2 linked regions of the Rattus norvegicus genome follow. The protein of the gene in region 1 interacts with the protein of each later gene in a pairwise test. Links are inferred from orthologs where the notes say so. Each region holds a gene or a part of one and is shown in the gene's direction. Other genes may lie near its edges.

Region 1 (4,695 bases):
GCTCTCACAAAGATTATATGCACTCAGTATCCACATGCCTAACAAGATCACAGCATAAAATGCTCTGAGTAATGCCCTCCTTGTTGTTCCTCCCAGGGTTCTCATTGCTATGCTTTGCTTCACTTCTCTCTCAGGCTGGATGATAGATGCTGATAGCCGCCCAAAGTTCCGAGAGTTGATTCTCGAATTCTCCAAAATGGCCAGAGACCCACAGCGCTACCTTGTTATCCAGGTACCAGGCCAAAGTTGGTTCTTCCACTGTCAAAATCTTTCCAATCGCTCCAGATGCCACCGTGCTAGAGCAACACAGCCCGTGAGGTGTTTTCTTGATAATAAATCCTTTTGTGCATTAGAGCAGCCTCTACTAGATACAATGACTGGATTACATGGGGGATACGTGATGGCTTGCACCCAATTCCAAGTCACCATTGGATCTGAGCAGTCCAACCTGGACCCAGTGCAAACGTCACCTCATATTTTGGCTAATTAGAGCCCTGGCTTTGCTAAACAGAGAAGCAAGACTTCACTGTCAACCTACATGGCTTCCCTCCCCAACTCCTTATCACACCCGTGCCACCTTATACAGCCAATCGGCCTGGCTCTAAATCTGGAAGAACAAGCTCAAGACCGTTTGTCTTTGTGGATTTAAAGCTTCGGTAAAATAATATATGAAAAATACACCTCAGAGCATTGAGTAGTGGATGATAAATGTCCCCATGGCTTCTTTTTCTCCTCTCTCTTAACCCGTTCTTCATGTGGATATATATATCACATGGCTTATACTATAAGTGGCAGACCTTGTAGACAGTTGTTGATAAAGGCCCTTACTCCTATAGCCAGGAAGCAGAGCGAGCTCCATAGAACCCTTTCTAATTCTATTAAAATCTCTGCGTCAGGGGGATGAAAGGATGCATTTGCCGAGCCCTACAGACTCCAACTTTTACCGAGCCCTGATGGAGGAGGAGGACATGGAAGACGTAGTTGATGCTGATGAATACCTCATCCCACAGCAAGGCTTCTTCAACAGCCCATCCACGTCACGGACTCCACTCTTGAGCTCTCTGGTATGCTCTCTCTCTCTCTCTCTCTCTCTCTCTCTCTCTCTCTCATTCTCTCTCCCCCCCCACCCCCCATCTCTCTCCTCTCTCTCTCTCTCCTGATTTAAATTGACTTATTTTCCATTTTCTATATTTTACTAAGAGAAAAATAAAAGAGGTAAAATATAACCAAACAGAACCTAGAATCATGATCAACAGCTAAGGGTTTTAGTTATTTAATTGCCTAGTTTTTCTAAAGCTCTAATTTAAGGCAAAAAAAAAAATCTTCTCTTCAAGAAAACAGTAAACACATTGAAATATTTTTGCTCTATGAGATCCGCCTCCTGCATCCGCTGGAAATGGATGAGAAGGTACCAGTGTACCATGACCAACATTGCTTTCTTTCTTTTTTTTTTCCAGAGTGCAAATAGCAACAGTTCCGCTGTGGCTTGCATTAATAGAAATGGGGTACGTATGGACATGTTATAAAACAGAATCGAATAAGCTACACAGGGAAAGTGCCCATCTTAGCCCGCATTGCACTGGCTTTTCTTCCCGTGCATTCTTTCCCATGCCATGGCTTCTTTGACTGGAGTCCTGAGGCCAACAGTAAGCGATCGCTTATCACAGGATCACTCAAAGTGTGGTTCATTGACAGACAGCGTCAGCATCTCCCAGCAGCTGTTAGAAATGCAGATAATTAGGTCTGCACCAGATCTACCAGGAGGATCTGTGGGGGAGCTGACCATGATGAAGTAGAGTGCTTCAGTTGCTGCCTGCATTGTTCTATCAGGAGCCACTATACGTCACTGATTCAATTTTAACTAACATGAAATAAGATGTAAAATTCAATTCCTCACACATTTCAAGTGTTCAGTTACCCACAAGTGGCATGTGACTACCTTGTAATGGAACACAGATTGGGAGGCATCACCATCCCTACAGAAAGTTCTGGTAGGTGTACTGATCAGGACTTTGCTTGTCTGTAACGCACTGGAGTCACTTTGGAGCGTGTCAGAAATCTCCTTTCCCTCACTCCATTGAATCCCCTTTTCTTGTGTGTTTGTTTTTGCGGCAGAATCTGTGTGGCTCAGCTGGCCTTGAACTCATGCTCCCTGTGCCTCAGTCTCTAGAGGTCTAAAGTCACAAGTGTGTACCACCATACACAGCTAGAATCTGCATTCTAATGAGGCACGGGTGAAGTTATTTTATAATAAAGGCTGAGTGATCCCCACTGGAGTAACCTGGCCTCTCCTTCCCACAGAGCTGCCGTGTCAAAGAAGACGCCTTCTTGCAACGGTATAGCTCCGATCCCACCAGCGTCCTGACAGAGGACAACATAGATGACACATTCCTTCCCGTGCCTGGTGAGTAGCTTGCTCAGGAAGCAGCCATCAGGCCTTGGTGTCTATTGCCACTTTCTCAGGTACAAGCCAGCTGTGACATCCAGGATACTTGAATGAGGCACACCACATCCTGAGGTGGAGACTGTGGCAAATTTATAGACATGGTGAAGGGAATAAAAAGCCAAAACAGAGAGATCTTACCATGCTGCGAAGCCTGTGACAAGTACAGGTGATAGCTGGGTTTTCTGCAGATCTGTTGGCTTGGAAACAAGTGGCAAAGTGTACATGTATGTATGTATGTATGTATGTATGTATGTATGTATGTATGTATATTGTGTGTGTGCATCTGCATATAAAAGATGGATACATGTGTCTCCTCTCTCTCTCTCTCTCTCTCTCTCTCTCTCTCTCTCTCACACACACACACACACACACACGAAACACATCATCCTTTAAACTTGCAAAAACCACTTATGCCCATTGCTTTGAGAAGTACAGAAAATATCACAGGTTATTTGGTCATCTCCATGCTATTCCCAGAACTCCTTTGCTCTTGGATCTCAGTTGTCTCACTGAGGACACTTGCAGCGCTCACACTGAGCCGTGGAATTCTGCTTCAGGGTCTTCGGGTGAAGCTTTACTAACTCACGCGTGCATTCTTCTTCATTTCAGAATATATAAACCAATCTGTTCCCAAGAGGCCGGCTGGCTCTGTGCAGAACCCAGTCTATCACAATCAGCCCCTGCATCCAGCTCCTGGAAGAGACCTGCATTATCAAAATCCCCATAGCAATGCGGTGAGCAACCCTGAGTATCTCAACACTGCCCAGCCGACCTGCCTCAGTAGTGGGTTTGACAGCTCTGCCCTCTGGATCCAGAAAGGCAGCCACCAAATGAGCCTGGACAACCCTGACTACCAGCAGGACTTCTTTCCCAAAGAAGCCAAGCCGAATGGCATCTTTAAGGGCCCCACAGCTGAAAATGCAGAGTACCTGCGGGTGGCACCGCCAAGCAGTGAGTTTATTGGAGCATGACATTGAAGAGGCATTGTACCAGCTACAAACCGGACTTTCCAGAAGCCCAGGACCAAGCCATGGCAGCACCTCTGCTCCTGACAGCCATGTCCACATTGTGTCAAATGTCAAACCCTCAGACTGGCTTTAAAGCATAACTCTGACGGGCTTTGTCACTGAGCCAAGAAGTGGGCCCCTCCCCTGATGCTCTTTGGGAAGTTGAAGGTATATCTATTGGTCTTCGAACTGTGAAGATTCCACTGAAAGGTATCCATCGAGAACATTGTCCTTTTGGAACAGAAGGTTGCCTCATGGTGAGGTACATAGGGGGAAAAAAAACAGACCTATGGCGCTTGCTGCATAGGGAACTCTGGGATTCTTGTCTTTATTGATTTGATTCATGCACTCTTCCATAAAGGAAGAAGCTTGCCCGTAGCGTGTATTACACAGAGCTGCCTGGAGCCAACTGACCAGACAGTTGGTTCTAGCAGCTCTGCATCAAGACACTTCCATGGCAAGATAACTACATGCACAAGAAGTCCTGGATGTGCTCAGCAGGCCACACTTGTACAGCATTAAACCATGGCAGGTACAATAGGATAAGCCACTTTGTTACTTACTGGGACTGGGAGAAGAATGACTGGGTAGAATTTTCCCTCAGACTTACTTTTTTGTATAAATATGTCCCTGATACTTAACACACGCTAGTTTACCAGTGTTTTCTGACTATTAGACTACCTTTTATGTTTTCTGTTTCATTGTTTTGAGTTTTAATATGCTTTCCCGTTTTCATTTCATGAAGTAAACAAACAAACAAACAAGCAAAAAAAAAAAAAAACAGTATTATTATCAAAGAACAACCATGATTCAAACCCATTCGAACCATCAGTATTGTAACCCAAAGCCTTTATCTAAGCTGGAGTAACCATGCAAAAATTCCTAGAAGAAATTTAACCCAAAATTTTTGTCTCATCATTGTGTCTTCTGAGGCGTGCATATGAGACTACGAAAGTGAAGCCTTTCCACCTTGCCTTCACCCCTCTACACCCCAAAACTAGTGTAAACCACACATGGAGGATAAATCTTTTTAATTTTTAAAGTGTTTACTGGTGATATGTAAACTCTCCCTGGTAAACTGCTGCTAAACATTTTCTTTCCCTTTTAGAAAAATGATCTAAGCTACTGTGTAGTAAGGGGCAGCCCATGGTAGGTTTGGTGTGCAGGTTTCAAAAAGAAGAATGTTAAGAACCGAGTGGAAGGCAGTATCTGTTTGAAAGTGGCATGATGACAGTGCTCCTA
Region 2 (5,387 bases), on another chromosome or scaffold:
TTGGATCTTTGTACAGCCGGTTTTGTATGTTAAGGAGGAGTTTAAGGCCTTTCTGACCACCTCGTGTCCCCCTTTCTACACAGCCATGTATCACATGGAGTTGCTCCCAGCCTCCCCGTGCACCCTGCTCTTGTCTGACTTCTCCTGGGCTGGGCTTCCCATTCTCACCAGCAGCTCCAGCATCCTGAACTTTGTAGTCCTGCTGGTCTTCAGCAAAAGGAGTGGAAACTGGAGGGCAGTTTCTGGACGGGGTTTTCTAAGAAACTTCTGAATTCTATTATCTTTACAAATATAAGATGAGAAAATAATTTTTTCAATATTTTTTATTAATCTTTTTATAAAATGAAAAGACGCCTATGATTAAGGATGGTGGTTATGGCTGGGTGGTCTGTGGGGTTGTGTGTTTTTGGGTTTTTCCTTTTTTTCTTTTTTAACCTTATGTTTTGGGTTGAAACATTTTCAGATGTTGGGGGGCATTCTCATTAAAGGGTTCTTGTGCTTGCCTTCCGGGGTGGCGTCGCGGTCCCCAGCAGGTGAACCACTGCATCCGTGCATCTGTTGGATACCCACTGCACCCTCCTCCCTCAGCCTTTGCTCTTAGGTTGCCCTGCATACTGCCCTTTACTTTGCTAATTTCAATAGTTAAATTGGTTTTACTTGAATGATTCATGTTTAGGGGAGAGAGAAAAAACACCCTTAAATTTTTGTTTCAACTCCTCCTGCAAATAAAAACAATAAATGAAGTGGCAGATGTAAATGGACTGTGTGTGTTGCTTGTGTGAGTGACCCTGGGGTAGTAGGTGGGTCCTTGAGAAGTTCTTCCTTCTCAGGGAAGAAGCACCTCTTGTTCTCAGTGGAGTCTGGAGTCTGCATTCCGTGCTTTTGACACCTCCAAGAGCCAAACCTAACTACCATGCCAGAAGCCAGGACTTTGGCTTCCTTCGTGGTGGGGCAGGGGTCAAGGCTTCAGTCAGCTGGCTCGGCCTTTGTATGTTCACCTAGAAGTTGACTTTCAGGTGAGCCTAGCCCAGCTGGTAAACCGTTTGTGGGTGTACTCTAACCTTCAGACTCTTGCCAGGCCTTAATAAAAGTTGGTTCTTCCTGCCTTTCCCCAAAGAGAATTTGCAGTAGTTGTCAGAAATCCAACTAGACCCCCGAAAGAGTCAAAGCTCAACCAGCTTTGTTTTGAAGTTTGGAATATACCCGCCACAGCTTTTAAGAGACTGGGGCCACTTTCCCAGCAATGGCCCCACCTTGGTATGTACCTCTCCCACCTTCCCCTGCAGCTAAGAACTTGCAAGCCAGAAAAGAGGGTGGGCTAGGAAACGTATAAAAGACGTAGAGTTGGCCCAGGTTGGGAGGCTTGGCTAAAGTAGAACTTAATAGTTCTATTTAATAGTAGAGCTCCTGGGGGAGCTGTTACCCCAGCCCTGGGCTAAGACCCTGGACTCCTCCTCCAAGAATTGGGGCCCAACCTGCTGAGCCAGGCCGCCCACTCCTAGTACCTGGATTCTGACCTATGACTCGAGTCTCCGCCTCATCTACATCCAGTCTACTACCTGGCGGCCTCGCCCGCCCTCCGCGCACCAATACCAAGTCTGACGGTCAGGCTGTGCAGGGCGCCCCAGAAATCATGGGTATGTGTGTGTGGGGTTCGGGGTGGGTTCTTCTGTACCCAACTTTCCGAAGGGCAGCATTCCCCCCAGCCTTTCTTAGCACGCTTCCGCCCGCAGAGGTCCTGGTCCTGGCCAGATACCGTGCGCAGACGGAGGACGAGCTGAGTCTGGCTCCGGGGGACGTGATCCAGCAGGTGTGTGCCGTGCCCGCTCGGGGCTGGCTGCTTGGGGAGCTGCGGGGCCGCCGTGGTCTCTTCCCCAAGCGCCTGGTGCAGGTAAGGCCCGGTGTGGGTAAGGCGGCACAGGGGAGCAGGAGCGGCCTCAGCCTCGGGCCTTGTACTGAGTCCCACCCCCACGTGATTTTCCCAGGAGATTCCCGAGGCCCTGAGGGGCGTCACCGAGTCCAGACCGCGCTTTCCGCGCCGTCGCGGTGAGCCGGGAACTGGGCCGGCGGGTGGGGGCTGACTGCCCGCGTGGAGCGTGACGGCTGTGGGTGGGGCACCCGGGGCTATTTTGCAGCCCTCTGATTGGCTCGAAGTACAATGCTCCGCTCGAGGGCGGGGCCTGAAGCTACTAAAGGGAGTTCTGGGGTTCACCTCCTCCCCAGTGCTGCAGACGGGGCTCCCTGCTCGAGCTGCTTCCCTGCTTATCTGGCCTAGGTCACCCCATCGACTCTCAGAGCCCCCAAAGATGGTGCAAAGTGAATTTCAACTACAGTCCAGAGCAGGCAGACGAGCTGAAGCTTCAAATTGGGGAGATTTTGGAAGTGATAAAGGAGGTGAGGGGGTACTAGGGGACTTGGAGTGATGCTGGAGTTCTTCACACAGAAGAGAGTAACGTAAGGGGAGGCAATGGGAGGAAGACAACTGGGGAGGAGGTAGTCCTTGGGTAGAACCGAGGATGGACACCTCAGTTACTCTTGGGCAGAACCAGATGCTCCCGCATCCTTCCCCCTCCCCAGATTGAGGACGGCTGGTGGCTGGGAAAGAAGAACGGGCAATTGGGAGCCTTCCCATCCAACTTTGTGGAATTGCTGGACAGTGGGCCCCCAAGTGAGACCGTGACCCTGTGATCCCCTGGGACCAGACTCAACAATCTTCAGTGATCTTCCCAGTGACCCTCCTGACCCTGTGCCCCTTTGACCCTCTCCCTTGACCTGGCTAAATTAGCACCTCCCTAACACCATCAATTGCCCCTCCACAGGCCTTGGAAACACAGACATGCCTTCGATCATTCCTACTTCACAGAGGCCTCCTAAGGTAAACTGGGTCATGATGGGCACGGCCAATGAAATCTTAAAATGGCTTGAGACTAGTCTTACTCTCCCTCCCTTTGCCCCTAATAGCTGAGCAACTTGACCTATGACAGCCCTCCAGATTACCTGCGGACAGGTGAGCATCTCGCCAAGGAGGTCCTCCCACGGTACCAGGTCTCGCCCTGCCTTGTGGGAGGTGAACCAGCTAGGTTGTTGGAGGGAGTCACTGGCTGCTGAGGGAAGGGCTACACAGTAGAATGACCTTCTTTTAGTCTCCTGCCCTGAGACCTGCAGGGTCCTGTTTGACTACCAGCCCGAGGCCCCCGATGAGTTGGCGCTGCAGAAGGGCGACCTGGTGAAAGTTCTGAGAAAGGTACGAGAGGATTAGGGGTACAGAAGAGTAGGGGCCCAGGCAAGAACTTGAGTGATGCTCACCTCCCCACTGGCTTGTTTCCCAACCAGACAACCGAGGATAAGGGCTGGTGGGAAGGAGAATGCCAAGGCAGAAGAGGAGTTTTTCCAGACAACTTTGTCATCCCACCGCCCCCAGTGAGTATGGAACCAGGTGTGGGGAGGAGAGAGGAAAGGCTGTTTTTAAAAAATCGGGGGGTTGGGGATTTGGCTCAGTGGTAGAGCGCTTGCCTAGGAAGCGCAAGGCCCTGGGTTCGGTCCCCAGCTCCGGAAAAAAAAAAAAAATCGGGAAAATGGATATGGTGGTACATGTCTTTAATCCCAGCACTCGGGACACAGAGACAAGCGGATCCCTGAGTTTGAGACCAGCCTAGTCTATAGAGCAAGTTCAGGAGAACCAGAGTTACACAGACAAACCCTGTCTCAGAAGTATAGATAGGGAAATGAAAAATCAGGGATCATGGATTTGCTGGATCACTAGAGCAAGGCACATATAACACTCTTAAAAACAAGAGACAAGCTGGGGATATGGCTCAGGGTTAAAGTGCTTGTTCAGACAGCCCCCCAGAACACATAGAAACGGCAGGTGGGCATGGCAGCGCCTCTGTTTCAGGAAGGGAGAGGCAAAACAGACCATACCGGTGAGCTCTGTGTTTGACTGGGAGATTTTACCTTTAAAAATTAGGTAGAGGGCTGGAGAGATGGCTCAGCGGTTAAGAGCACTGACTGCTCTTCCAGAGGTCCTGAGTTCAATTCCCAGCAACCACATGGTGGCTCACAACCATCTGTAAAAGAGATCCGATGCCCTCTTCTGGTGCATCTGAAGACAGCTACAGTGTAGTTATATATAATAAATGAATAAACCTTAAAAAAAAATTAGGTAGAAAGTGTGGCATGGTGGCCTTGAATCCTAGCACTTGGGAGGCAGAGGCAGGTGAATCTCTGAGTTCAAGACCTACAGAGAGTACCAGGACAGCCAGAGCGACACAGAGAAACCATGTCATGAAAATCCAAAAAGAAAAAAAAAAAAAAAAAAGAATTAGAAGAGTGATCAAGAAAGATTTCCTGGGGCTGGAGAGATGGCTCAATGGTTAAGAGCACTGACTGCTCTTCCAAAGGTCCTGAGTTCAATTCCCAGCAACCACATAGTGGCTCACAACCATCTGTAATGGGATCTGATGCTCTTTTCTGATGTGGCTAATATATATATCAAGAAGAAAGAAAAGAAACTCCATTTCTTAAAAGAAAAAAAAAGGGGGGGTTGGGGATTTAGCTCAGCGGTAGAGCGCTTGCCTAGCAAGCGCAAGGCCCTGGGGTTCGGTCCCCAGCTCTGAAAAAAAAGAAAAAAGAAGAAGAAAAGAAAAAGAAAAAAAAAGATTTCCTATTTGAACCTCCTGCTTACACATGAGTGTATGCATTTTACACACACACACACACACACACACACACACACACACACACACACACTAAAACAGGGGTTATGGAATTCCTTGGATCCAGCTGGAGGGTCACCCCTAGATGAGGCTGGACTTAAAACTGCTGGGACTTGTCCTTGTAGTCTAATTTTTTTTTTCTCGTTTAGATCAGGAAGCTGATCCCACGGAAAATTATTTCTCGGGAATCAGGTGGGTGCCTGGGGAGCATGGGGTAGAGGAAGCTGTTCTACAGGCGAGCCATTGTTTCTAGTTGAGCATAAACACTTGTGGTTCTCCCCCTGGTCTGGTACACCATAGGACCTCCCTCCCCTGGGGGAGGGAAGGGTCAAGGCTCTTGCAAGAACTATGTGAATCCTGGGTGAGTCAGATCGTGTTCAAATGCCGTGTGCCTCTTGGGACTGTGATGATCACAGAGCCCCTTGTGCTATGCCTATTAGTATAGGTGGTGTTGAGGATCAAACCCAGAGCTTTGCACAAAGAAGGCAGGTGCTCTACCACTGAGTGGTGCAGTCTGGATCTAAACCTTGAAGTCCCTACAGATAAATTCTGGGTTGGAAGATGGCTAGGTGAGGAAGCTGTTTATGCAGGACCACGGGGGGGGGGTTGTAATTTAGTTTTAGTTTTATGTGCATTGGTGCTTTTGACCAGTGTGTATGTCTGTATAAGGGT

What was found. The genes of interacting proteins can lie anywhere in the genome.
Region 2: the proteins of Egfr (region 1) and Sh3d21 interact in a protein complementation assay, tested with the Homo sapiens proteins (2 studies listed by IntAct). The link is inferred for Rattus norvegicus from reciprocal best matches to the Homo sapiens genes EGFR and SH3D21.

What each region holds. Positions count from the first base shown.
Region 1 is NC_086032.1:95,542,225-95,546,919, forward strand, and holds part of Egfr (epidermal growth factor receptor isoform 1 precursor), read left to right. Parts: intron 1-134; coding exon 135-232; intron 233-896; coding exon 897-1,064; intron 1,065-1,457; coding exon 1,458-1,505; intron 1,506-2,301; coding exon 2,302-2,404; intron 2,405-3,055; coding exon 3,056-3,417; 3' UTR 3,418-4,695. UniProt on the Homo sapiens protein: Receptor tyrosine kinase binding ligands of the EGF family and activating several signaling cascades to convert extracellular cues into appropriate cellular responses.
Region 2 is NC_086023.1:143,725,191-143,730,577, reverse strand, and holds the start of Sh3d21 (SH3 domain-containing protein 21), read left to right. Parts: upstream 1-2,230; 5' UTR 2,231-2,275; coding exon of another isoform or gene 2,276-2,306; coding exon 2,307-2,394; intron 2,395-2,577; coding exon of another isoform or gene 2,578-2,668; intron 2,669-2,819; coding exon 2,820-2,875; intron 2,876-2,961; coding exon 2,962-3,007; intron 3,008-3,143; coding exon 3,144-3,244; intron 3,245-3,333; coding exon 3,334-3,420; intron 3,421-4,864; coding exon 4,865-4,907; intron 4,908-5,387.